4 linked regions of the Caenorhabditis elegans genome follow. The protein of the gene in region 2 interacts with the protein of the main gene of each other region in a pairwise test. Each region holds a gene or a part of one and is shown on either strand. Other genes may lie near its edges. The genes, in order: F43B10.1, Y37H2A.1, sup-46 and scrm-2.

Region 1 (4,895 bases), on a different chromosome or scaffold from region 2:
AAATCGAGAATCTTTCAACAATAATTTCAACTCCAAACAGAAAAATCGTTGAGTGCTGCCAAAAAATCATACTTGCTTCTCTAATAAATATTTAGATATTTGGAAAATGTATCCTATGAACTCCTAACAAAATGATATCGAATTTTTTCAAATTTTTTTTCAGCTAGATTTGTTTTTAAGAAGAATTCCACTGAAATTTTGAAAAAAAATGACAAAAATTTGCAAAAATTTGAAATAAGATTTTAGGTACTTGTATTCTAATCCCTCATATTAAAAATGAATTTTTAAATAAAAACGTGTCGAGTTTTTGTATTTTTCGGCTTATAAACATTTAATCATTTCTAAGCCTAAACAGGGAAAATGAACATCACGTTTTATCAGAATCGGAAGATAAATGGAAGTTTAATTAATTTTAAAAATGCGGGGTTTTAATGCACAAGTACCAAATTTTGTAAATATATTCGCTCTTGATTATGATTGCTTTTATTCTTTAGATTGTTGCATTGTTTCCAGGATAACTCAGTCTCATAAACTATGTCCTCCAGAAAGTTTTTTACTGAACAAAATGAAACTTGCTTTGGAACTCCATAGGATCAATTCCTTTTTTCAGTCATTTTTCAGCCGCCGTCATCTTCCATTCCTAAACTTCGCTTTTAATATTTCTCCCGTTCAATATAAAAATAGTGAAACGTAAAAGGAATGATGATTAGGTGACCACGGATTGCACTTGACGAGTGCCCGATAATGATACATCGAGAGAGTGAGAGAAAAAGAGCAGGCGATCTAGCGACAGCTGTCGGGGGTCGTCGAAGTGTAGAAGGACGGACCTCTGAAATGAAAGCAAAAACGTATTCCGTCTCTCCTCGAGAAAATATATACTCCATCTCTTTCTCTCCCTCGCTCTCGCCGGGAGCCCCGTCTACCCGCTGTAACAATACCAGTGTTCTATCGGCTCGTCGCCGCTTTCGCCTCGAAAGTCTTCTCGAGGGGCTCGCAATTTATTGGCTTCTAGACCATTCAGCTTCTTCTTCTTCTTCTTTTTCTGCTTTTTCATTTTCTCTTCTTGCTGCTTCGTCTCTTTTTCTTTTTTACCGCCGACGTTCTGGTTGCACTCGCTCACTACTACCTGTCTTTTTTCGCTTGATCATCGTTTCATCTTTTATCCTCCCACTTTTTTTCGTATCCGCTTTTCTAGTTTTTTAGGATCTAGATTTTTGAATAGTGGTTTTGGTTTTTTAGCTTAAAAACTCCGCTCTAAGAGCTCTTTCAACCTTTTTCGTAGAATTAATGTTCAGAATTCTCATCATCATCACCATCTATCGTTCATTCTTTCATCACATCTTCTTTTCCAAATCTTCTTACAAAATATGTCGCTCCTCCTAAAGGAAAAGTTGTTACTATTACTAATCACTTCAATCTGCAGTTTCTGCTGGTTCAGGCCACTCCTATTCTTCTTCTTTTTCGCACTTTCATTTCAATCTATGTTTTCCCACTAATTGCTACCTGCTAGATACTGATCTATTATATAATTCTATTTTAAGTTACCAGTGGGTTCAAGTTCATTTTATAAATAAAAAATGCAATGCAAATAAAAAATTTTTTAAGTAGTATTTTTCCTCTCATTATGAATCAATCCTCCTTCCTCTATTAAATTTGATTATGATCCTATCTTTTTTCCTTTGTTACCTCTCACTCTGCCTCTCAAGTTTGTTTGATTTGTTGCGTTTTTCCATGTTTTTGTGCATTTTTGCTCCAACTTGCTGCCACCTACTCAACAGTTGTCCTGCAAAATATCTCGTTTCTTTGTTCTTCCCCCGCCATTCTTTTAATCTCTCTTCCAATTTCGGACATCTTTCAGTACTTGCGAGAGCAAAGGGTAAATGTACCATCTTGACGACGACTACTTCGCAAGATTCAACCAGCCGTCGTCCTCGTCAGTGCAGTTTCCATCGGAATCGTTACGGTACGGAGGCAGTGGTTTGGCCACTACAACCACGTTTGGTGCTGAAAACGACCCCCAAACTACTCGTTTCCGGTCGCAGTCGGCCGATAATCGAAGATCAGCGTTTCAACATCAGCCGAGAACAATCTCGGAGGATCACATTCCAGAGCCGTGGAATCAAGGACCACTTCGTACTGCTGAAGTGAACTTTCCGTCCCAACAACGAAGACCAGCTTCAACCACGCCCTGGTCGTCACATTCAGAGTACCACTCGTCACATAACCTGTCAGTACCCTCTTCCTTCTCGGAACACCTTCGCGAAAGATCGCCAGCCAGTGGCTCTGCACTTCTCGACTTACTCTCTCGTTACCCGTCTGCACAGCACTCTGTGCAAAACTCACCAGCCGTGCAAGCCTATATCGACAGAATTCACACGGATCGGGCTCCACCGACACGATCGTATACCTATCAATCGTCCGAATCTAACTTTCCACTAATTGAGTATTCAATTCGCCAAGAAGTCCCAAACGGTGTTCGATCGACAACTTCGGTTTATCAAAACGTGGTTCCAAACGGAAACGGATATCCGTCTCAACAAAGAGTGCAAACAACCTTCACCTCGAACGGTCCGGTAACTTCTACTTTTCATCGCGAATACCACAACTCTACCCCGCATCAATATCAGCACTCAAGTTCGCTTGGTGGTCCTCCTCTGCCACTTCCACGAGAGTCGTCATTGCAACAGCAGCAGCAACAGGCGCACCCGTTCGAAAATCGATCTGAGTTTCATCGTCATCCACCGCCGCCGCCGCCGCCATCTTCCTCTTCATCTCATCAATTTTACAACAACGGAGTACCCGCACTCGCCTCAAGTGCGTCGTCCGGAGGTTTTCGTCAACCCGTGTTTCACGACACGGATCAGTTGGATATTATTGCTCAACGTCTCCTTGATGACAACATGAGTCGAAGCACATCAGAATGGAGCAAATCGTTTGAACAGTTGCAGAATCGGTTTCAAAATTTGGAAAGCGATGACTTGTTGAGTCCATCCGCTTTTACGACCACTGGGTCAATGACTTTGCCACGACGTGGAGCACAGCTGCCAATTTCAAAGTCTTCAAGTAACTATGAAATGAATAGTTCGCTTCTTGGAAGAGCGGTTGAACGAAGAGCAGCTGAAGCTCCAGAACAAAGAAAATCCGGAGCATTGGATAATTTCTGGAGTCAAACCATCAGCTCGAGACCTTCTTCGCCAACAATTCAGAGAATTCCAACAAGTTTAACAGCAGCAGAACGACTTCAAATGTTACAAGAACCAATCGACACTGAAAAAAGGTTTACTCAGAGAGTTGGCAGTGGTCAAGGAGTTGCTGCAAGAAAAGCTGAGCTGATGAGAGAACCATCCGTCGAATACACCGAGAAGCCGAGAACTCCATTGAATCCAGCTTTTCCGTCAAATTCTTTCCTAATTCCAAGTTTCAATGAACTGGATAATGCTGTAAATGAACTCTCAAGAACTGTTCGTGGAAATACATTTGGCGGAACAACATTTGGATCCGTGTCACCTGCACCTGTTGTTCACAATGATTCTCTAAACCGACGAGTTGGAGGTTGCGGTAGATTTCCAACAGGTGAACACGCTTTTAGTCCCCCACCAATTGAGGTGTCTAAGTCTCCTGCTTTGTCACTTCACCGGAAGCTGCACTCTCCATCCCCAACAGATGAGGTCAGCGAGAGCTCTTCAGTGTATCAGATTCCAACAGGACTTCCGCATCCAAAACCGAAGCATAATGTGAAAGAACAACTTCATTTAGCTGGAATTCATACTCCTGGCTATCAAATTTCGCGAACCATGTATCGAAACGGACCGAACTTCCCGGTGCCCTCGACCGGAAGTGTTGCCTCTCGGATCACAGAATTCGAAAAACGACCAGGCACTCCCGTTGTGCAACTCTCGACCACAACCGTCAAATACAACGAGCATGTACCAGTTGCGGCGACCGCTAAAGCTGTACCGCAAACCAATGGCAATATGAGTCCACGGAGCGCGGTGTTTCGTGCCAAACCAGTCATTCACGTGGACATGGGCAGCACATATCAGCACTCGTCGCCGACACCGCCAATCCGTCATATTCAAGTGCATTCGGTTCAGAATCAGAATCATCAACCACTGCAAAATCATCAAAACCACCAGTCCTACCTTGGGAAAGAGCAACATAATCACTACCGTCCACAGTATCAGCAGCAGCCAATTAAACAACACGACATTGCGACCCATTCGATTTTCGACTTCAAATCAAACGTGAGTATTTTTTAGTTCTTTTTTTAAATCCTGATCTTCAATTTCTTATGAGACTGTGGGGTTTTGCTTGGCAAAATCTTGTTAGTGTACTTTCAATCATGTGGGAATAGTGCAAACAACCGCGAAAAACTATCGGGGCTTGTGTTCGGAGATGAAAAAGTATTCTGGATCTTGTTTTCGAGAGAAATGACAGTTTTTAGAACGTGTGCTCTATTTTGAGACGATTTTTGATTGCTGTTTCTATTAGTTGGTTTTTTTTTCTCAGACACCAAAAAATACTTACGTCAATCCTGAGAATTGCACCTTTCCAAAGTATAAAATAACATGTTTTTATAACTCCAAATGTAGTTTTTCCCTTATCTCTGTTTAGTTTAGGTGATCATTTCAATGAAATTTTTTTTTCATTAAAATTGTAACTTTCAAATTATTTGTTAAATAATTTCACAACAATTTTCTGCTTTGTTTTTGGACATTTTCGGAAACGAATACACATTTCTATGACGTCCATTCTCAAGAATTCAGTGTAAACACAAGTGTCAATTTTCGCTGAATTTTATTGTTTCAACTTTGCCTTGTTTGTCATGGAATTCCAGAATTTTAATAAAATTCGAAATAGAGTAGTTGAAAAGTACGATTTTTGATTGATTTTCC
Region 2 (7,848 bases):
TTTGAGGAAATTTGGCTGAAAATGAGCTGAAAATCATTTTGGTCTGCTACAGATTTGTGTAGTTTGTAGTCTGGCCACCTAGCCTCAAATTTATGAAATTTTGACATTTTTAGCGAAAAAATAGTGATGGTCTGCTAAATATTTTTGTAGTTTGTAGTCTAGCAGACCCAAATCAAGCGTATGGGTCTGCCAGACTACAAACTACACTTTTCGACTGAATTTCACGATTTTTAAGAGATTTTTAAGAGATTTTCTTAGTTTGTTTCCTGTGAAAATTTACGAATTTTTATCGAATTTTCCTGAAAAATACGATTTTTTTTTCGTTTAAAAGTTCGAGTTTTTACACTCAAAAAATCAACAAAAAAAACGCCGATTTCTCAGTTTTCGCAAATTTTTGCTCAATATCCCTTGAAAAATACGAAAATTGGCTTAAAAACGTGTAGTTTGTAGTCTAGCAGACCCATACGCGGCGATTTGGGTCTGCTAGACTACAAACTACACAAAAATATTTCGCAGACCCATCATTTTTTCGGCAAAATTTAGCTTTTTTGCGTTTTTAACCGGAAATGTGTGCGGATTTTCGGCATTTTTTCGGATAAAAAACTCAAATTTTTCACAAAAAATTCGATTTTTTGGGTTTTTTCCCGAATTTCAAAGTGTTTTCTGGTAAAAAAATCGATTTTCCACTCCATTTTTCCCCATTTTTCCTCGAGTTTTCAGCATATTTTATTGATTGCTCAAGCTTCTTTGTCTTTTCTAACCGATTAACACTGTTTGTGTGTAGTAAACGTGCTCTATCGCCACCTTTTCTCAGGTTTTTTTTCTTAAAATTTTAATTTATTCACAAAAGTCCCTTCTTCACCTGTTCATGTATACAACCTGTGTGTCTATTACTTAATTCTTCTTTAAACATTATGATTATGATTATTGTAGCAACAAAAAAAAACTTAATTTTCCGGCAGTTTCTCGATTTTTTTTCGGTTTTTTTTCGTTAGAAACCCCCCAAATTCGTCATATCTTTATTTTTTTGCTCTTTTTTCTTCGAAAATTTAACTATTTATTGATTTTTTTTTCCTCCGCCATCGTGCTTTAGACACCGACACACCATATATATATATTTTATAAAAATTTCTGCTGAAAATTTCTGAATTTTCATATATTTTTTCACAATTTTTTTTTGGTTTCAACTCCAGAAATATTTGTACTTTTTTTTTTCTGTTTTTCGTCTTTGTTTTTTGTAGTTTATAGTATCCTGATATAGACTACAAACTACAATACCTTTCTTTTTCTGTAGTTTGTGACTTGGTCTGGCAGACTACAAACTACGATATTTCGCGAAAAATTGCGTTATTTTTTTTTTAAATTAAAATCTCAAAAACTGCTCATAATGATATTGCGAATTTGATTTTTTTTTCTACAAAGAAAAACCAATTTTTGTGTAGTTTGTAGTCTAGCAGACCCAATATCAAAAGAATTTTTTTAATACAAAAAAATAGAAAAATTAGAAAAAGAATTCGTTTTTAAATCACGTTTCCTTTAAAAAATCTAACGAAAATCACTCAAATTTTGGAAATATTTACCCGATGGGTCTGCCAGCGTTTTTTGTAGTTTGTAGTCTAGTAGACCCAAACTCCAAATTTTTTGATTTTTGGCCTTTCGAAGCGTTTTTTTTTTGATATTTTTTTCTTAAAAAAGGCAAATAATCACTTTAAATTATGCAAAAAACACGTTTTTTAACTGATTTTTTCTCCAAAATTCTTAAAAAACCGTTTTTTTTTTCCGAAATTTTTCTTGCCAGTCAAAGAAAATCAACGAAATTTAACGCTTTTTTTTTGCAGAAAAAAAATGGGTGAACCAAGACGTTACGGGTTCCAACAGCCGCCGCCGCCGCCAAATTGTTGTGAAGATGGTGGTGGAATAGAAGATGGACTAATTCGAGATTCTGGACTAAATCGGGCCGGATCTGGATCCGGTGGAAGGCCTGTCAGCTCGACTTCTAATGAAAGCTGGAGAAATGTTCCATGGGGACCACCGGGCAGACAGGTCATTAGTTTTGTTCGAGAGGACTTCAAAAAAATTGTAGTTTGTAGTCTGGCAGACCCATTTTCTGAATTTGGGTCTGCTAGACTACAAACTACACGTTTAATCCACGTGTTTCTTTTTTGAAAATTTATAACAAAAATTTTGACGTTTTTAAACGAAAAAATCGTATTTTTCGTTAAAATTCCATAAAAATTCGCTAATTTTCACAAAAAAATCGTAGTTTGTAGTTTGGCAGACCCAAATCGAGCGTACTACAAACTACACTTTTTACTGTACAAAAATATACATTTTTAGGCTATTTCCTCAGTTTTTTTGTTGTAAAAATTGGCTAATTTTTATGGAATTTTCCTTAAAAATACGATTTTTTTTTCGTTTAAAAGATCAATTAAATCGTGGATTTTATTTAACTTTTGAATTCCAGAATTTCAGTGAAAAATTCAATTTTAGCATAAAAACCCGGAATTTCGGCGTAATCTCTCAAATTTTCGATTGGTCTGCTAGCGTTTTTTGTAGTTTGTAGTCTAGCAGACCAAATTTCTGAGAGTAGGTCTGCTAGACTACAAACTACAAAACGTATTTGGCAGACCCATATTTTTTTCGACTGAATGTTGCGTTTTCATGTGAAAAAAATAAAAAAGATTTAGAGGGAAAAAACTCGGTTTCGTACAGAAAATTAATAAAAAATGGGGATTTTTCGTTTTTTCAGACGGTTTTTCGGCGAAAATTGTGATTTTACTCATATTTCTCTGTAAAAATCGATTTTTCAGTCAATGTTCGTGAATTTTCATATTCAAATTGCGAGAAAATTCAAAATTTGGATTTTTCCAGCGAGAAAAAATCAGGAAAACTGCCCAAAATCACAGCGAAATTGACGATTTTTACCTAGTTTTATGGTCTGCCAGACTACAAACTACACAAAATGTATTTAGCAGACCCAAAAAAAAAAATTTCGCGATTTTTTTTTTAATTTTTTCTTGTATTTTTGACCAATTAGCATTAAAATTCGCTAATTTTTCCCCCCAATTCCGAAAAAAAAATTGATTTTTCTCAAAATTTCCCAATTTCCTCCCCCGCTAATGGCCATCTGCTCTCCGAATAACACACTTGGCACGCTGCCAAGTGTCTACCAACAAATCCCATCGATTTTCGCGGTTGGTGAGGGACGAAAAATCCAATTTCCATGAAATTTCTGCCGTTTTTTTTCTAGATTTTCCATGAAAAAATCGGATTTCAATGCCAAATATCCGGAATTTTTGCCATTTTTATTTCAGATTTTGCAGATATTTCACCCTAAAACTATCCGGAATTTTAATATCGGAAACCATTAAAACAATTCTTTTTACAGGGTCCCGCTGTTCACCAACATCATCAAATGGTTCAAGTACATACACGTCGGCTCGGCGGAGCAGCACCAACAATGCACCATAGTAGGCCACCGCCGCCGCCTTTGGACCGACGCCCGATGTCACCTCAAAACGCCTCAAGACCGCTTCCCGTCCGTGGTACAAATTATTCAACGAATGGAGATTGGCCTGATCAACGTCCGACGATTATTCAACAATCGTCAAGAATTAATTCGTTTCCGAATAGACCTGTAGCTAATAATAGTTATCACAATGAGAATATACCATTTAAGGATATTATTCTGGAGGTACTTGGAAATTTGAAAATTTTTAAGCGGCGCGTCGCGGTTGCGTCGCGTTTTTTTTTTTTGAATTTTTGAAAAGGGTAATATGGGTTTTGAATTGAACACACTGTTGAATTGGAGCAGTTCACGCAATTAATAATTGCCGGATTTGGAAATTTTCGGCAAATTTGATAATTGCCGGTTTTGGAAATTTTCGGCAAATTCGATAATTGCCGGTTTTGTAAATTTTCGGCAAATTTGATAATTGCCGGTTTTGTAAATTTTCGGCAAATTCGATAATTGCCGGTTTTGGAAATTTTCGGCAAATTTGATAATTGCCGGTTTTGTAAATTTTCGGCAAATTCGATAATTGCCGGTTTTGGAAATTTTCGGCAAATTTGAAAATTGCCGGTTTTGGAAATTTTCGGCAAATTTGATAATTGCCGGTTTTGGAAATTTCCGCCAAATGTGACAATTGCAAAAAATTGAATTTTTCATGAAAATTCGCTAATTTTCACACGAAACATTGAGAAAATTGGCGAAATTCAGTATGATTCAAAAAATTTAAAATTGTGTAGTTTGTAGTCTAGCAGACCCAAATCAAACAAACGGGTCTGCCAGACTACAAACTATACATTTTCGACAGAATGTTAGTGTTTTTAATGATTTTTTTGCGGGAAATATCTCAAAATTTGCATTTTCTCGGAATTTGAATGTGAAAATTCACCAAAATTGACTCAAGCAATCAATTTTCACACAGAAAATATTGAAATTCGGTAGAATAAAACCCCATTTTTCGCCGAAAACCCCGTCTGAAAATCCAGAAATCCACATTTTCTATCGATTTTCTGTGGGAAACTGAGTTTTTTTTTCCCAAAAATCTGCTAATTTTCACTTGAAAATGCAAAATTTTGACGAAAAAAAGATATGTAGTTTGTAGTCTAGGTTACAAACTACAGTGTTTTGAAAAAAAAAAAAAACTGGAAAATTCAGTAAAAACTGGTTAGTTGGCAGACCCAATGGGTCTGCTTGCTGGACTACAAACTACAAAAATATTTAGCAGACCAAAATGGTTTTTTGCTATTTTTTCGCCAAAAATGCCGAATTTTCTATTGAAAAAACACAGACTCTAAACTACAAAACTGTTTTTTCGCCAGTTTTTACTAGTTTTTCAGCAAAAAATGACTTGAAATTACCGATTTGGGGGGATTTTTTTCGGAAATTCACCCAAATAAACCCGATTTTTTGCAGTTACACGAGCACACTGTCCCATTCATCGATTCACATTGCCACGTTGATTTCATGTACAACCAAATGGTTCATAATAATCCGAATTCATCACTCAGTCATGGCCTATCGCATTGGATTCATCGATATCCATATGGATTTCCGAAATCTTTTTATGGAGTCATTGCGAATTTCATTAAACCTTCGCTTTTTGTTGTGAATGATGGTGGTGGTGGAAATGGATATGATATAGATTGGATTATAAATGAAATTGAATCGAATATCTACTTGGGAACCACTTGGGGATGTCATCCACATTATGCACAAGAGTATGTGTCACTTCTTGGTGTAGTTTGTAGTCTGGCAGACCCAATTTTTTTAAAACGTTTTAGTGAAAGAAGTTGAAGTGAAAATTAAAAATTTTTTTTTTTTGAAAATTGAAAAAAAAAACATAATTTTTCGGCTATTCTTTTTGGAAAAAAATAATAAAAATCGAATTTAATACATTTTTCAATTTTTTTTTGCAAAGAAAATTTGCAAGTTTAACCTTTTTTTATTAAAAATGTACAGAAAATGCACCTTGAAATTAAAAAAAAATCAATTTTTTCCTCCTAAATTGATATTTCTCACTGAATTGTTTGGCTTTCAGGGGAATGTTCTAAAATAGTCAAAAAATCACTTTAAATAATGAAAAAAAACACATAATTTTTGGAACTGATTTTTCCACCAAAATTTTGAAAAAAAAAATCCTTTTTCCCCAAAAATTAAAAATTTTTTGCACTTTTTCCCAATTTTCTTTAAAAAAAACGGGAAAATTTCTCCAAAACTCGTTAAAAACCCAAATTTTCGAAATATCCGATGGGTCTGCTACCGTTTTTTTGTAGTTTGTAGCCTAGCAGACCGATCTACAGAATTTAAAAATTCGACAAAAGATAATATCAGATTGCTTTGGCGAGGATTTTTATTTTATACACACTGATTATTTAAAAATTGAACAAAAAAGTTGTAGTTTGTAGTTTGTAGGCCTGCTAGACTACAAACTACAATTTTCTGTCGAAAATGTTCTATGACGTATGCCAAACTACAAACTACACATGCTTTTGTAGTTTGTAGTCTATCATCAAATAATTACAGATGGGCTTCAAAAGACATCTTCTGGCAGACGCTTGAGCACATTTTATCGAATGCAGCCACGTGGAAGGTGTTGGCCGTCGGAGAGTGTGGACTAGATTTACACCGTTGTATATCGGATCTAGAAGTACAGAAAATGGTATTTGAGAAGCATATCGATTTGGCATACAAGTATCAATTACCATTAGTCATTCACTGCAGAAGTGGACAAAAAGGACGTGCAGAAGAACAATGCCTGCGTATTTTGAAGAAGGTAGCCGCGGAAAATTCGCAAAAAATGGTGGAAAAATCGTGTTTTTTGGAGAAAATTGACGTATGGGTCTGCTAATGAATTTTTGTAGTTTGTAGTCTAGCAGACCAAAAATCATCAATTTTCAGCGAATTGTTCGATTTCTGCTGTCTCGAAGCGATTTTTTTTTGAATGTTTCCCATTAAAAAAGTGTTTAAACGAGTTTTCCTCCAAAATTTTGTGAAAATTTGAAATTTTTGCCGATTTTGGGTATGGTCTGCTAAATATTTTTGTAGTTTGTAGTCTGGCAGACCAATATTCTCGGATTTTTTTTGGAAATTGAAAAAATATTTTTTGAAAAGTTTTTGAAGTTTTTATGAATCCGATTTTTGATGATTTAAATCGATTTTTTTGCAAAAAAAAATCTAAAAAGTGTAGTTTGTAGTCTAGCAGACCAAAATATTTCCAAGCAACGTTGAAAATTTGCAAAAAAAATTGACTTGGGTCTGCTAATTAAGATTATGTAGTTTGTAGTCTAGAATGTTAATTTTATATAACTTTTCTGAAATTTCTGATTTAGAAATCAGAAAATTGCCGAAAAACCGCAGAGCTTACTTTTTTCTCAAATTTCTTAGACAAAAAACCTAAAAATATGGGTCTGCTAGAGTTTTTTTGTAGTTTGTAGTCTGGCAGACCCAAATTCATTTCTGAGATTTTTTTGTGCCCAAAAATTGAGACATTTTCGAAATAATTTTAAAAACAAATTTTGGAAATAGGAATTTAATTGAAAAATCCGATTTTTGAAAATTAAATAGATATTTTGCAATTGGGTCTGCTAAAAAAGTGTAGTTTGTAGTCTGGCAGACCCAAAATTTGCAACAAAAAAAACTGAAAAACTACATTTTTCGAGAAACTACAAGGACATTTCTCTCATTTTTGAAGACTACAAACTACATAATGTTCTTTCTTTGTTTTCATTGTGTAGTTTGTAGTCTTAAATTTTTTTCAAAAATCAAAATTACCCCGGAAATTTCAATTTTTGCTGCAAAAAAAAATTCAGAAATTTAAATTATTGTGTCTGCTAAAAAGGTGTAGTTTGTAGTCTGGCAGACCCAAATATTTCCAGTTTTTTTTCCATATAAGTATCTAAATAATTTCAGAAAATGGACGAAAATCATAAATTCCTGAAAATCCACCGTCATTGCTTCACAGAGACTTGGGAAGTGGCACAAATGTGGATGAAACAGTGTCCGAACGTCTATTTTGGTGAGGAAACCCGAAAAAATGCAACAAAATTGATTGAAAAAGTGTGTAGTTTGTAGTCTAGCAGACCTAAAACCGATGTTTTGGTAAATTTCGATTTTTAACATTTTTCTCATAGAAATCAATTGCAAAAAACCGAAAAATCCAATTAAATTGGTCTGCCAGTGATTTTTTGTAGTTTGTAGTCTAGCAGACCCAAACTCCATTTTTCGCTATTTTTTTCAATTCTAGTGTTTCTAGTGTGTTTTTTGTAATTTTTTGATGAAATAGCGTTAAAATTTGCTAGTTTTCCCCACAATTTTGTGAAAAATTCTATTTTTTCTACCAA
Region 3 (5,036 bases), on a different chromosome or scaffold from region 2:
TTTAAAATGAAACGAGGCACGATTTTTGTCGTTAACATAAGACCAAGATTTCAGTTCTATCAATAATAAAATCTAGTGTAAGGAATAAAAGTGAGGGAAATGACGGCGATTGGGAAAAGACTAACTAGTTCCATGCGATTACTGTTCGACATGGTAGAAGGCGTCGGCTTTTAAATGTATATACGATTTGATATTCGTATGGTGAAACCTAGAGGAATAGAAGGGAGAGACATGGTCATCGGCGGGAAAAGAGAAAGAATAGGGAAAACACGTCATGAAGTGTATATGATAAGACATTTGGGACGATTGGAGCAATATCAGAAACTTTATATGGACGTTAGTCATTTGGAATGTGACTTGTGAACGATAGTTTGAAATGTTGGTGTTGAATCACCTATTCTATAAACATTTTGAATATTTTTGGACAGCTAGCGCATGAATTGTGAAAAAAAAACAAAAACGCGTTGTTATAGAACTTGAAGCAAAACTAAATTGTACAATTATTAATAATTTTTAGTGTGAAATTGAGAATAAATCTGTCATGCGGAGGCAAAACAAAACGAGAGGCAGCTTATCTCACAAAAAACGTTTTCTATTCTTTCTCCGAAATTTGACACTGAATTCAGTTCATAAAAATCCTATTGACAATTAACGAACAAAATTATTTTTAGGGAAACATGGAAGAAACAATTGAAGAATAAAATAAATTATAGAATAGAGTGTTTCAAAGAGAACAGAGATCTTGTTTCACAGAACCATGCTATCGAAAATGAAAAAAAAATCGTAAAAGATCCAGAATACTGGCTTAGCAGCAAAGAAAAAGCCTTCACTTTTCGCGGCGATTTGTGGCGTCAAATCTGATGTCGGCTGTGCGGCTCGTCTCGACGCACAAATGCACACTTGTGTTTGCCGCCGTCTCTTCTTTTCGAATTTCGATTTTTCTCTCTTTTATCGTATTTATTTTTCTTTATTTTCTTCGTTAAATCAAACGTTTTTTTGTTTTAAAATTTGCTAAATGGTTCTCGCGGCTTAAATATGCATTATCAGTCGGAAAATCTCCAAGATGTTTCAGAGAATTGCTCCGATAGATAAATTTCGAAATTGTTCCTCTTTTTGAAAACTTAATTTTCGGTTCGGGAATTTTAAGAGAGTTTAGAGCATTCTAGTCTTTCTGTAAGATATCAAGTCAAATTTTGCTCGAGTGGCCTATTTGTAAGTAAAGAAGCAAATAAGGTGCGATCACAAAACTTTTTACTCATCTGTGCATAAGTTTTCGATCATTGTTGTAACATAGTTTTTCAATTCGATGTCAAATCAAGTATTACATTGGCGAGACAGTTCAGTAAATAATCTTTTATCTCTTTCAACAATAAAAATGGGCCACTCAGCGAGCAGATTATTTTAGTTACAATTAATTTTCGACTTGTTAGCAATCAAAATGGAAATAAAATTTCAATTGTTTTTTAAAGAAGCCCGTTGTTATATGAAAACATTTGCTTATCGTCTAATTGATTCTAGTTCAACTCATTCAGAAAGCTTAATCCAAGATCCGTGTTCCATCAGCCAACATGAACAGAAATCGTCGAGACGGACCACAGCGTGATGTTAAGCGAGAGCGTCGGAGCCGATCCAGAAGTCCAAGAAGAAGTATAGTTTTTGATATTCTTCATTCCCGTTTCCACCATTTTTTCCATAGAAATCCTTCTCTATTTTCCATTTCCTTAAGGTCGTATCGGCGCTGCTGTTGGAAGTAACAATGGGAACTCATCATCGAACAACCGAATGGTTTTTATCACCAATATCGCCTATGAGGCTCGTTGGGTCGATTTGAAAAGTCTAGTTCGCGAGAAAGGAGGTGAAGTCGCTTTCTGCGAGTTGCTCGAAGACCGTAACGGCAAGCCAAAGGGTAACGCTGTGGTTGAGTTCGAAACTCGTGAGGGTGCCGAAAAATGCGTTGAGAATCTACAAAAGTTCGACTGGAAGGGAAGAACCATCATCGCCAAAGAAATTCGGGTCCGTATCTATTTAATTTTGACACTCACATTCAGAAATTTTCATCCATTTTTTATTTTTTCTGTAGGATCCGAATGCTTTCTTCCGAACCATCAAAACTGAAACAGGCATTGATTACTTGTCTCGTACCGGAGGTGGTGGTGCAGGAGGACGAGGTCCTCCACCAAAAGATCTTGATCGCCCTACTCGAACTGGAACTTATGATTTATTCGGTCTCAATATGGAATTCCTTCGCCAACACAACATTGAACCGCCACTCTGTGAGCGCATCTTCATCGCCAATGTAGGTTTCAAATATTCTTCTTCTCGAAGGGCTCCACATCTAGACCACGTTCACTTGCTGGGTCTTTATCTCAGTTTTGAGATATGAAATTATTCGAATGGGAGAAATAAATGCAATTTTTCATTTTGGTGTTTTTAAACGGAATAGTAGTAGGAAGCTTTCTACGTGGAATTATATACAACAAAATGGAATCAGTGCTTATTATAGTTTGTTCAGACAGTTGCATCCTCCGGGTAGATCTCTCAGTATCATACGAATAAAATATAGCATCACTAATTCAGTTACTAAATACCATTCTTAGTTCCCAATCAGAGGTGGTTGGCAATTATTTTCGGAAATGCTACAAAATGACCTATTGCGACATGTTTTTTTCAAAAGTTTTCATCAAAAATTAGTCTGAAAATGTAGATAATCACTTGATTTATCTGAAAATTAAAAAAAAATTATCTCGTTTTAAACATTTGGAAAAGTGCGCGAAAATGACCAAAAGTTGCCATTTGCCGAGAAACGATAATTCAACAATTTGATGATCGGCAATTTGCAACATCCTGGTATTTTTGAAGCGCTTTTCCAAGTGTTTTATCTGAAATAAGTGTTATTTTCAGATTTAAAAAAGTGATTTTCTATATTTAACATGGCGAAATATGTCATTTTATAGAATTTCCGAAATTCCACTTCTGTTTCCAAGACAATATTATTAATCAAACATTTTCAGTTGGCTTTCAATGTCGGAACCGATAAGCTTTACGAAGTCTTCGGTATGGCCGGTAAAATCACCTGGATGGACTTCCGCATTGATAAAGAAGGAAAGTCAAAGGTTTGTTAATATTTATAGTTCCTATAAAATATAAATGGTGTCTTCCAGGGAGTATGCGTAATTCAATACACTCACCCAATTGAAGCCGTACAAGCCGTTTCGATGCTCAATGGTCAGCGACTTTTTGATCGAAATCTGGTTGTGAAAATGGATAGATTCGATAAGGAACTGGAGCACAAAGAAGGTGGACTTCCACGAGGTCTTGAGTCAATCGGAATGGGTCTTGGAGCAGAAGGAGCACCACTTTCCAATGTTCATGGAATGTTCCCAGGAGATGCTTCAGTGCCGGTAAGCGATTTAAAACAAATTTCATCGGTGTGGTATATACTAGCATTCAATGGTGGTTTTAGATTTTTTTAAATCGAAAAATTAATTTTTTTTAAACAGAAATTTTCGGGTTTCCAACATTTTGATTTTTCGAAAAATGGCCTTTTATAAGAAAACGATATGTTTTCTTATGTTTTTCCCCATCAACAATCTGAAAACTTAATACAAAAATGGGTTTTTATATTCCAATTTGCTAAACATGTTTTTCGATTTTCAGAACAAACGGAACTTTCTCTGAAAAAAGCACAAAAAATGTTCGATGAAACTCTTGATAACAAATACTCAATTATAAAATTTTTAAAAGTTAATTTAATTATCTATATTTCAGTTCACAGCTCCAGCTGCCCCATTCGTAGGTGGACCACAAGTTGTTTCGGCTGGTGGTTTTGGAGGAGTCGTTGAACAAGCCAACTTTGCCCGATCCGTCATGAACAATGGACCATTTGGAGGAAATGCTGGTGTTGGTGGTGCTGGTGGAGCCACATTTGCTCAACCTGACGTCTTTGGTGTCAATGGAGCTGGTGGACTCGCCGGTGCTGCGACACCCCAGGCAACAAGGGTTATTATCATTCGCAACGTAAGTTTTCAATTCAAATTTCAATTTGTTCTCATTTATGATCTGTTATTCAGCTTCCAAGCGATTATACCTGGCAAATTGTCCGTGACCGTGTTCGAAACTTCGGAGAAGTCGACTCTGTTGATATGATGGCGCCAGGAGCTGCTCGCATTCGTTTTGCAACTTTCCAAGACGCTGAACGTGCTCGTGCTGCCCTCTATGGATCCACTGTCGAAGGCCGCATGATCAGCGTTGACTACGCCTAATTCATTCCCCCTGTTATATTTGTATTTGAAACTTCTCACGTTTCTCTTGAATCATCATCTATTATCTTTATTTTATCCGTTTTTTCTCCATCTCTATCCTTCCTTATCCCTTTAAAAAGGCTTCCTTGTCAACGGAATCTCAATAATTTAAAACATCTTCCTCATTTTCATCACTCTAAAACTATTTCTCATATTTTCCTCTGGCAGGATGGTGACAAATAAAAGTTTTAATAATAAATGACGTGACAAGTGTGTCTTCAGATGAGCGCCGCACAATTTGAGGTGCTATTCAGAAGACAATTTAGCATGTGTGTCCCGCATCAAACAAGAGCTTCACGCAATCTGATTTGCGCGCGACAACTGCTGCTCAAACGTTTTACCGTATGCCCTTAATTGCGTTTTGAAGACGTCTCTCTCCTTCATGAGCAAAAGATAGTCACGCCCATGAAGAATCCTTTGTTGCTGAGAAAACGATGATGAGCATTGTGTGTGTCTATTTGTATGCTCACAACTTTCTTTCGTTTGTCTATGTTTTCATTTTTGACGCCTTTCTCTGGATTACGGTACCTTGAGGCTTTTGGAGAAGGATTCTGAATTCTGCTTTATAACGAGTACTGTTATATCAATTTTTTTAAAAATTAATTGTTTTTATTTCAAAACCGGCAATAAAAAATTTTGGCACCAAAAATACCGTTCCTGGTCTCGTCACGACAATTTTTTGTTAAATACAAACGGGTGTGCGCCTCAAAGAGTACTGTAGTTTCAAAATTTTAG
Region 4 (3,376 bases), on a different chromosome or scaffold from region 2:
GAATATAAAATGGCCAAAATTAATCTTTTATTTGGAAAATCTTGGGCTCACTAGCAGTGCAAAAAAAGAAACTTACTTGTTAGAACTGCCTAACAACAGTGATTCGTTTTGTGAATAAATAGGATCTTCCGAAGACATTTTCTTATATTTTAACAAAAGATAAACTTATCAAAAAGGGTTGAAAAATGAATATAGTTCGTTTTGAAAGAATTGGGTTCGGCAGCAGGCTTGCTTCGTAGACATGCAACAAGGAAGTATTCGTGAAAATCTAAGAAGTTGAAAAAGTTGTAATCTTTAAAAAACGTAACTGTGATCTTTATTGCCTCTCGTCTCGTAAATCACGGAATTGAAGAGATGTGCATGGCAGTAGAGCATGTCGGTGGTAACGATACAGGTGAAAAGTAGGCCAAATTTGTATTTATCAGTTTACCGAAAGATTTTTAATCAAAAGATTTCTAGATTTTTAATATCGGAGTTTTCTCCGTTATATATTCAATCGTTCTTGCTTTACGCTTATTGGAAGTGCGATATAATTATAATTATTTTATTTCATTTTGAAGATGTTGAAGAAAAGAAGCAAAGCGATGCAAACGGCGCGTTTGCAAAATGTCTTATTTTAATATACATGCATACAAAGAAAGCACATTATCATTTCATAATTAGAGCTCTGATCGCAGAAAACAAGCGAGAAGTGCATTGCGAGATTTCCAGTTTTTCCACATCAGTTATTATTTTCGAACTCCACGAAATCCTGAAAATAGAGTAATAGTTAAATTAAATTTTGGATAAGAAGCACAAAAACTCACAATCAAAAATGTGGCTCCCAGCAGTATCGCTTTGAGCTTGACATCAAGGTCGATGGGAACTGAAATTCTTTCAACTATTCTTTCACTTTCAAGACTAACTCACAGGTGACTGCAAAAGTGTCGGCATCGGTAAACGCTTCACGCAATAGTCCACCCCACTTCTTGGTTATTGAGCCAATTGGCACGGAGCTGTCGGGAGTTTTGATCTGAAAAGTATGGAGTATTTTAAATTCGGCAAAGTCTTGTCACCGTAAAATCCTTATCTTCACAGCAGCAACTTGTGCAACATCCTTGACCATCAACTAGGAAAATCAGATTTCCATCTTTATCCAAAATGTTATAGAATGAATTCGTGCAACCATATCCTTGAAGGACAGTACCCAGAAGGCCAGTTGATAGTGATTCAATGGTGCATATGTTTTGAAGACCTAGCAAGCATCCACAAAATGAGTCTGCGCAGCATCTTAATTCTCGTTTGACGATGAGCACATTCTTAACAAAACAAATGTTTTAAAAACTTAATTTAAAAGAATTTTCAAGAAACTTTAGGAATGTTTTCCTATTATTACACATCCCATGAAATAATCAGGAGTTAAAAAGTGATAAGAACTCAAGCTTCATGGCTTAGAAATCTGCATCTCTAGGCCATAACTCACCTTGTTAAAATTATCCACAATGTGCATCGTAAAACCTCGTTGCGATCCACAACACTGTCTCTCCCAAGCGTTGGATTCTTCGAACGCATAGTAACACTGCTGTCCATTTTTATTTCTAATAGCATACTTATTTTTACTCTCCCATCCAGTAAGAATCTCAAGAACCTCCTTCACTTGATGCACCATGACCGTGTCCAAGTAGGCAAGGTATTCCAACCCTGCTGGGATTCCCTCAATCGCTGGAAGTGCTTCCATCCAAATTGCTCCGGGAGCTGCTTGTATAGAAGCTCCTGGTTCAGTTGTTATGGCTCGGTCTTCAATTTCAACGTAATCAGGTGGTCCATTATAAAATAGTTGATCCATTATTTCGAATCTGAAACTTATAAAAAACGGGTTGCTGATTGTTTGAAATTGCGCTTAACTAAGCAAAGATTGGTCCGAATTCTTAAATTTCATTTTGTTACAAAATTGGTGCTCAAAAATAGAAAAAATAGATAAAAGAGTTTACTGACTACTCAATAATTTTACTCGGCTCATCGAGCTCTAAAACTGATAAAAATAGAGGTAAAAAAAATTTCGTCGAAATAAACACTTAAAAACGCATATTGATATTTTATAACTCATAAATCCGTGGGGTTTTCTTCAAACACTACAGAAATTACAGTAAAAACTATTGCTTTAGATCGAAAAAAATTGCTGAACAGTTGAAACCGGAAAACTGGTCAAAAGTAGGAAACATTCGTTGTTTTTATTGATGCTCAAAAAACATGAAACAGAGAAAAAGCGGGTTCAGAAAGTGGGACCAGCGAATGTGTTCGGAAAGTGAGAGGCGCATAGACGAAGAGGGAAGCTAGACACACATACTTTGAAAACAGCACAAGGTTCAGGGTACTCGTGTACTAAAAATTGAGAGAATTTTTTCAATTTATAACATTTTCATACGAGAATTCATTTGCAATTACCTAGAAGCTACCAGGGGTCACCACATTTCTCTTGGGAATTATCGAAAATTTATTCCTGAGTCATCAACTAACATTCCATTTAATTCCCTCATAAACTTTATTCATTTTCAGTCAAAATGTAAGTCAGCAGTTCTCTTCGTCTTAACATATCCTCCATGTCTTGGCTTATGATCCACATCATCATCGAGCCTCTCCTCGAACTCTGAAACTTCTACAGGAGCGACATGGGTAGCTGCAACCGGTTGCTTCACACTCTCCAATTCGGATTTAGTTTCGTTAGTGGAAACAGAAGCGGGGGTGTACTTGGATGGTTTGATCTGCAATTTAAAAATTGGAAAAAAAATCAATAACTGTTTTTGTAACTCACATTTTTCCACTCCTTATCAAACTCATCACTTTCCACAGAAACCGATGGTTTAGCTCTACGAGAACTGTGCTCCGTCTCGTGTCCTTTCTCCAAAAGTGCCAACATAGCTTCACGTTCCTCTTCAGCTTTACTGATCATCTTGTGTTTTCGTTGCTTGGCACACACGTACATCCAAATAAGACACAGGGCAATACAGAAGCACCAAATGAGAAGGACAAGGAGTAGGATGTAGATAAGGATGTTCGCATCGATTCCTGTAAGAAAATTGGTAACGGTATAGCTGGCAACAGTGCTGACGAGTTAACTTATAGTTAGTGTAGATACTTTCTCCAGAATGTTGTCAGCTTTCTGGCGCAGTATTTTAGATAGGTATGTGCTAGGGCTTCCATGAAGTCGCCGCAACGGCGCATCCGCTGGCCTCAGCGGTCACCGCGCCGGCCTCACGGCGTCACTCAAGCCGCATGTATCCGAATGTATAGTGAACCCCGACAGTGTCGGCTGCTTCAAATAACTGCCTTTTTGCATTTGAATATATTTTGAATACACATTCGAATACACAGCGGTATCAGCGTGAGGCCCGCATTT

Evidence for each region.
Region 1: the proteins of Y37H2A.1 (region 2) and F43B10.1 interact in a two-hybrid assay, tested with the Caenorhabditis elegans proteins (one large-scale study listed by BioGRID).
Region 3: the proteins of Y37H2A.1 (region 2) and sup-46 interact in a two-hybrid assay, tested with the Caenorhabditis elegans proteins (one large-scale study listed by BioGRID).
Region 4: the proteins of Y37H2A.1 (region 2) and scrm-2 interact in a two-hybrid assay, tested with the Caenorhabditis elegans proteins (one large-scale study listed by BioGRID).

What each region holds. Positions count from the first base shown.
Region 1 is NC_003284.9:16,651,469-16,656,363, reverse strand, and holds the start of F43B10.1 (EF-hand domain-containing protein), read left to right. Parts: upstream 1-1,852; 5' UTR 1,853-1,880; coding exon 1,881-4,244; intron 4,245-4,895.
Region 2 is NC_003283.11:18,106,431-18,114,278, forward strand, and holds the start of Y37H2A.1 (Deoxyribonuclease TATDN2), read left to right. Parts: upstream 1-1,838; 5' UTR 1,839-1,845; coding exon 1,846-2,043; intron 2,044-2,551; exon of another isoform or gene 2,552-2,612; intron 2,613-3,388; coding exon 3,389-3,694; intron 3,695-4,921; coding exon 4,922-5,226; intron 5,227-6,031; coding exon 6,032-6,281; intron 6,282-7,417; coding exon 7,418-7,523; intron 7,524-7,848.
Region 3 is NC_003279.8:10,169,100-10,174,135, reverse strand, and holds sup-46 (RRM domain-containing protein), read left to right. Parts: upstream 1-1,532; 5' UTR 1,533-1,568; coding exon 1,569-1,647; intron 1,648-1,726; coding exon 1,727-2,013; intron 2,014-2,080; coding exon 2,081-2,296; intron 2,297-3,011; coding exon 3,012-3,113; intron 3,114-3,161; coding exon 3,162-3,401; intron 3,402-3,768; coding exon 3,769-4,017; intron 4,018-4,070; coding exon 4,071-4,262; 3' UTR 4,263-4,497; downstream 4,498-5,036.
Region 4 is NC_003279.8:13,233,816-13,237,191, reverse strand, and holds scrm-2 (Phospholipid scramblase), read right to left. Parts: upstream 1,845-3,376; 5' UTR 1,826-1,844; coding exon 1,463-1,825; intron 1,299-1,462; coding exon 1,056-1,298; intron 1,013-1,055; coding exon 910-1,012; intron 866-909; coding exon 807-865; intron 752-806; coding exon 722-751; 3' UTR 529-721; downstream 1-528. Other genes in the region: ZK1053.2 (uncharacterized protein), read right to left, coding at 2,532-2,741, 2,792-3,045.